Arabidopsis thaliana: one gene and its partner. The protein of the gene in region 1 interacts with the protein of each later gene in a pairwise test. Each region holds a gene or a part of one and is shown on either strand. Other genes may lie near its edges. The genes, in order: AT2G33830 and NPC4.

Evidence for each region.
Region 2: the proteins of AT2G33830 (region 1) and NPC4 interact in a two-hybrid assay, tested with the Arabidopsis thaliana proteins (one large-scale study listed by BioGRID).

Annotation. Positions count from the first base shown.
Region 1 is NC_003071.7:14,308,875-14,312,361, forward strand, and holds AT2G33830 (Dormancy/auxin associated family protein), read right to left. Parts: upstream 1,735-3,487; 5' UTR 1,413-1,734; coding exon 1,322-1,412; intron 1,216-1,321; coding exon 1,017-1,215; intron 931-1,016; coding exon 894-930; 3' UTR 610-893; downstream 1-609. Other genes in the region: FES1 (Zinc finger C-x8-C-x5-C-x3-H type family protein), read right to left, coding at 3,271-3,300, 3,397-3,487.
Region 2 is NC_003074.8:843,384-847,322, reverse strand, and holds the start of NPC4 (non-specific phospholipase C4), read left to right. Parts: upstream 1-2,226; 5' UTR 2,227-2,352; coding exon 2,353-2,798; intron 2,799-2,886; coding exon 2,887-3,084; intron 3,085-3,467; coding exon 3,468-3,877; intron 3,878-3,939. Other genes in the region: NPC5 (non-specific phospholipase C5), read left to right, coding at 1-297, 374-544, 630-973. UniProt on the Arabidopsis thaliana protein: Non-specific phospholipase C (PLC) which assumes major PLC activity during inorganic phosphate starvation. Substrate preference is phosphatidylcholine (PC), but can also hydrolyze phosphatidylethanolamine (PE) with lower efficiency.

The DNA of each region.
Region 1 (3,487 bases):
ATAGGTTGATCCCGCAGGACTCAGGTTTGGGTTGGTTCTTTTTGTGTAACCTTGTATTCTATCTTCTTCTTTAATCAAATCAGATGACAAAAAATTAAATATATATTACATTTGTATCCAGACATGTATAAACTTTAATTAAATCACTATCATAATGGTTTGTTGACACAAAGAATTCACCTAACCATGGTTATGTTTTTGTTATTTAATGAGATGAGATCAACCATGGTGATTAAAATAGGTTGATCCCTGAGCTTTGGATTGGTTCTTTTTGTGTAACTTTGTATAATTATATCAAATCAGACAAAAAAATATATATAAAAAATTACAACTGTATCCAAAGACATGTATAAACTTTAATTAAATCACTATCATAATGGTTTGTTGACACAAAGAATGCATTTAACCATTGTTATGTTTTTGTTATTTAATGAGATGAGATCAACCATAGTTCAGTTAAAATTTAATCAAATCACTATCATAATTGTTTGTTGACACAACGAATTCATCTAACCATGCATGATTGAGATATTTTAATGATGAACAAATAAAATAAAATAAAAATAATGATATGAGATCAACCATGGTTAAGTTAAATTCCATTTTGCTAATTATAGTTAAGTTAAGTTATATTGTTAGCTAAATCATTAGAGAAGCTAATTGTAATATTACCGAACAGTAAAAATATTACAAGACACTGAAGACGCATCGCCACCGTTAAAAGCTAAAAACTAACCCAGATGGTGGAAATCAACGGTCACTAACAAACACAAACGACATGAAGCAAATAAAAGATTGCACATATAGCCAAAATAGACGAAACAGAACATAAACACGTGGCGTAAAGAACATAATTATTTTACATCATTCTCATGTCACTCTACCCTCTCGGCTCAACGGTGCTTGCTCCTAGTGTCGTCGCTGTATAGCCTGCGGGATCACAACAACGGTCAAACCATCTTAGATCTGATCTACACCGTCCGGTCAGATAATAATAACAGAAACTGAGTACGTACCAATCGTAGACGGTGGGAGAGTTTGGGTGAGAAGGCTTGTCGAAGAGGTTTGTGCCCATTCCTCTAGTGGCGATGTTACTTCCTGGATGAAACACACTTCTCCACACGTTTTCCTTACGCGCCGATCCTGGCGTCGTCGGAGTTCCAGGACTCCCGGCCACCGCCGCCACAGTTTTACTACTGCTCCCTTCTCCTACACCTTCCAAAAACCATCACATGATATAATTATGAGATCATACGTTTCTACAAAGATCTGTATATGCAAGTTTATTACGGAGTTATGGTTGACAAAGAAAAATAAATACCTTTGATGTCAAGGGGTTGGGTGGTGATCTTATTGCGGAGGCGGCCAAGGCCATGCTCCGGTTTAGGTCCGGCTACAGTTTCATCCCACATATTTCTTTCTTTTTTTGGGTTGATTTTGGATAGAATTGTGTCAAGTGTGAAGTACTTACTAAAGGGCTTCCTTCATCTAATTTATAGACTCATTTTTAAACTATTCGTAAAAATATCTCTTTTCCTTTGTCGACTAGTTCTCTCATTTTTTATTTGACCCACAAAATATCTAGAGAAATACTATAATAGACTAGAAATAATTGACAAGTAATTGATAACTTAATTACCAAATGAAGTTTATATACTTGCACATAGAATTTTCGTTAAAATTTGATACGTTTAGCCAAAATGTTATTATTCTCTGTCAATAAACAACATGAATACATAATATAATTGTAAATTGTGTGTTATGTATTAATATGTCATTTTACAACATTTTAATATAACATGCAACTTCCAGGGTTTAGAGCTAAAATACACGCCATCTTTGGAAATTAGGATGTGGATAAGCCTACTTTAAAGGACCTTAATATATAACATTAATGTTATAATATAGATCAAACCATTGATCATGAGAAGCGTGAGCAGTGAGGGAGAAGTGTGGAAATAAAAAAAATGCAAGGTGGGTATAGAGCTGGAGATATGGATAAGGACGACGAGTCATAAAGTGTAGGGACCCTTAAATCAAAAGAATCCCAAGTCTTTCGTGGAAAAGTATTATAGGAACAACAAACATATTTTGATTATTTTGTGAAGTTAATATTATTAAGCAACAGTAACTCTAATCAAATAGTTTTCCACAAACCCACCATAGATAATAAGTTCATGATGTCCTAATGATCATAGTCCAAATGATTCACTAAAATGTTTGAAAAAGATAAAACTAATTCCAAAACTGTACACAAAACGTATGCACTTTATCCTAAACCAAAAACCACTTTCTACTTACAGTAAAACTTCTATAAATTAATAATGTTAGGACCGAAAAATTATATTAATTTATAGAGGTTTTAATTTATCGATTAATTAATTAATTTATAGAGATATTTTTCTAATTTATTAACTTTTAAAAAAAATTTAAGATTTTTTCATTATAGAAAATATTTTTTAAGAATCAATTACAAGTAAAAAGTAATATCATATTTAGAAAACAACACCAAAATTTTTTGATACAATAAAATATTAGAACTCAATATCAAATAAGAATAAATACAAATTTAAGCAAAAAAAAATATTAGAAATATATTTTAAAGAAATTTCTTACATATAATGTATATATAGTTGATACATTTCTGCAATTATTAATTTGTGATATTAATGAGACCATATATTTACATAGGATTTTCAAAAAAATTATTATCTTATTAATTTATCGATTTATGTCATTTTTTCCATTAGTCTCACCTCGGGATTGGAAGAAATTATTAATTTATAGAGGTTATTAATTTACCGAGTATTAATTTACAGAGGTTTTACTTATATTGATGGAGAAATACAAAACTAAAACTAACTTCTAATTTGAAAAATCTTGGTTTCACAAAGCTAAATTACTTATCAAATAGTTAGGAAACGTACCTCAACATTATTCCATTTCTTTCTCTTTTCCTCTGCTTCCAAGGCAACCATTCTTTATCACATTACTTCTAAAGATCACATTCTAAATCATATTCCCAAAGGTAAAAGAAAACTGTTTTAAGCATAAATTAAGCTTTGAAGAGTTTTACAATGTGTACACATTTCCTCCACCAAGCTCCCATTCCAACCTTATTCCATTATCGGTAAAGGATAGGAATGGAGTTCCAAAGAATTTAGGTGCTACGTACTAAATCTATAACTGAGTAAAAGAAGGATGACATAATGTACAGGAATCTCATCAGTTTGAGCTCATGCCACACCAAGTGACATTTGGTTTGATAACTCAGGGTTTACCATACTTTTCGACATACCCCTGCAAATGAACATAAGAATTGTTAGCTTATGCAATACTTACTACTTAGGTTTTTACCTGCTTTAAGTGTCTTTTATTTCCAGCTAAGAAACTCACCTCGACAAGTTTCACAATTCTGGTTCCAGACAAACCAAGATATTGATCAACTGATTCTGTGTCAGTTGGCACCTGATGAAACTGGACAGCG
Region 2 (3,939 bases), on another chromosome or scaffold:
ATGATCTATTGTTGAATCCCGCTAACGATGATCATCCATCACATGACGTCTCCGAAGGCCAAAAGCTCGTGAAAGAAGTTTACGAGGCCTTGAGATCGAGTCCTCAATGGAATGAGATTTTATTCATTATAACATATGACGAACACGGTGGATTCTACGACCATGTCCCTACTCCCCTCGACGGAGTTCCTAATCCGGATGGTATCTTGGGACCTCCACCGTACAATTTTGAATTTAACCGGCTCGGCGTTAGGGTTCCGACTTTCTTCATCTCCCCTTGGATTGAGCCTGGCACAGGTAAGTATGTGGTAGACAATAATTTAATTATACTATAATGTGTTAATTAAATGACAATTTTTGGTAAAATGTGTAGTTCTTCATGGGTCAAATGGGCCGTACCTAATGTCACAATATGAGCATTCGTCAATTCCCGCAACGGTCAAGAAAATTTTCAAACTCAAAGATTTTTTGACAAAGAGAGATTCGTGGGCTGGCACTTTTGAATCTGTTATTACGAGAAACTCACCAAGACAAGATTGCCCTGGTAATTACATTTTTTCATTTCTAATAAATTCTATCAAAATTTGTGATTATTTTGAATAAATACTTCGTTTTTTAAAAAAAAAAAGAAACATTGTCAAATCCGGTCAAAATGAGAGGGACGGTGGCAAAAGAAAATGCAGAATTGAGCGACTTTCAAGAAGAGCTTGTAATAGTTGCTGCGGGTTTAAAAGGAGACTACAAAAACGAAGAATTGCTATACAAACTATGCAAAAAAACTTGCGTTTCAGATGCTTCTAAATACGTTACGAAAGCGTTTGATAAGTTTGTAGAAGAGTCTAAAAAGGCAAGAGAAAGGGGAGGTGATGAGAACGACATCGTTTTTTGCGTTGATGATGATGATGATCATAATGTTGTGAAACCACCACCATCACAATCAGAGCCATCACATGCTACTCCTTGGTCAAATTAAAATCTGATCGTCTTTTTCAATAAGTTAAACATTTGCTTCGTTTGTCATGATTACTGGACTGTATAAGAAATTTTCATTTAGTTTTTTTTTATGTAGTTTTTGTGTGAAGAGTCAATAGTAGTGTGGATCTATCAAATGGCCCCTATTGAATTCAATTTGTTTTCTAGTAATTGAACCTAAATGCTGGCGTAAAAAGAACAAAAGAAACAAAACTGCTGACATAAGTCGTATAAAAATTGTGACTGGACATGCCAACATAAACGATCTAGACTCGAAAAACAAAAAAAAAACTTAGGCGCGACTTTGTATTCCTATTCTTGTATGGCACGTCACAAAATTGTTCGAGTACAAGTTACTCTTTCGTCACTACAAAATGATCGGTAATAAATGGACACCGCTATTTTAGACCAAGTACGTTTTAGGAAATCTAAAAAGATTTATCGTGGTACAATAAAAATAGGTTGGTGGACTGTCACAATTACAAGCATAATACAAATTGTACACTAAAAATTAATTAATATCCCACCTTGAATCGAAGATCATACGAATTCTTGTTTCTTTTTTTCACACGACCACGAGTATTATTTTATTTTATGAAAAGGTATCAGTATCACTTGGAAGGAATATGTACTGTTAATAGAAAAAATTAAATCAAAACGATAATTGTTGTCTTTATTTAATTTCCCATGTGTATTCGCATATTCTTTGGTTGATATAGAATCATACGCATATTCTCGTTTATATTCTTTGCCGTAACGTGTGTTCTTGTTTTTCTTGACAATTTTCTTCTCATGTTTCTTGTCTGTCTGAAGGTTACAAGTAAAGTCTCAACGTCAATTTTTTTTTTTTTTTTTGAAAACAATGTTAAATTATATTCAAAGAAAAAATAACGTTTGTACAACTAGTGCGTCGTGAGTTTGATATAGCTAACAGTACACAAAATTCTCTCTATATATATATATATAATGTACTTTTAATATAAAATCAACATACAAGCTAATTAGAAAGAACTACATAGATGGTCTTGAAAAAGTGAATATTCTTGACACAGACCAATTTCAACACAAGTAATTAAAAATAAATGTTGTCGTAAGAATATCAACCTTGCCACAAATTATAAATTTCCAGCTTATGGGTGCTGGTAGTTGCGTCAATTACTATCCTAACAAATTTAGTAAAGATTTTATTTCCCTCCAACTTTATTTGACGTTATACCAATTCAGTGGATAAATAACCCATGACGACGTGCATACTTATGATTTGCTGTTTACGTCTTCTTCAAATCTCCAATGATCACTACGTATATATTTATATAAGTATAACCCCCACGAATTGTTTCTACCCAAAACGTTTAACATTCGAAAAAGAAAAGAAACGGAATGATCGAGACGACCAAAGGCGGTTCAGGATCGTATCCGATCAAAACCATCGTCGTTTTGGTTCAAGAAAATCGTTCTTTTGACCACACCCTAGGCTGGTTTAAAGAACTAAACCGGGAAATCGACGGCGTCACGAAATCTGATCCCAAATCCAACACGGTTTCGTCATCCGACACAAACTCTCTTCGTGTAGTCTTCGGGGATCAGTCTCAGTACGTTAACCCGGATCCAGGTCACTCCATTCAGGATATCTACGAACAAGTGTTTGGTAAGCCATGGGATTCAGGTAAACCGGATCCAAACCCGGGTCATCCTAACATGTCCGGTTTTGCTCAAAACGCCGAGAGAAACAAGAAAGGGATGTCCTCCGCGGTTATGAACGGATTTAAACCGAATGCTTTGCCGGTTTACAAGGAGTTGGTTCAAAATTTCGCCATATGTGATAGGTAAGCCGGTTCGGTTCATCCTGATCTTAATTTTGAGTATAGTTTTCCCGGTTTAAATCAAATTTGGTTCACATTGTATACTTGGCAGGTGGTTTGCGTCGGTTCCAGCGTCGACGCAGCCAAACCGATTGTACGTACACTCGGCAACATCACATGGAGCAACGAGCAACGACAAGAAATTGCTACTCGAAGGGTTTCCACAGAAGACGATATTCGAGTCTCTCGATGAAGCTGGTTTTAGCTTTGGCATTTACTACCAATTCCCTCCTTCCACTCTCTTTTATAGGTATTTTTATCAACAATATATACGTTTTATTTGCTTTTCCTATTGAAATCGTTTATTCAGATATTAATTAATCTAGTTATCTTTAGCTTTATAAGAATTGTATAAATTTTGTCTCTTTTTGGCTATTTCCGTCTATCATTTTATAATGGGTGTTAAATCAAGGTTATTCTTTTGTTTTGGATATCTAATAAATATATCAAACTGCAAGACTCGTTTCAGTTTATGAACAAGTTTCCTTCGTTGTGCAGATTGTAAAACCTTCTAATTAAAACATTAAGATAGTCGTATATATAAACAAAGTAAATCTTATAGTAAAAAGGATAATCATACAAAATATATATATATATATATATATATAATTGTATTAATAGTTTACTTTTTAGGAATTTGAGAAAGCTGAAATATTTGACACATTTCCACCAATACGGAATACAATTCAAGAAAGATTGCAAAGAAGGAAAGCTACCCAACTACGTCGTGGTCGAACAACGTTGGTTTGATCTATTGTCAACTCCAGCCAATGACGATCACCCTTCTCACGATGTCTCCGAGGGTCAAAAGCTCGTGAAAGAGGTCTACGAGGCATTGAGATCGAGTCCTCAATGGAATGAGATTTTATTTATCATAACGTACGACGAGCATGGTGGATTTTACGACCATGTACCTACTCCAGTCGACGGAGTTCCTAATCCGGATGGTATCTTGGGACCTCCACCATATAATTTTGAGTTTAACCGGCTCGGTGTTAGGGTTCCGACTTTCTTCATCTCTCCTTGGATTGAGCCTGGCACAGGTGAACATAATTACTAGTCATAGGCATTAATCAAATTTAGTGGTCTTATATTTTCTAATCAA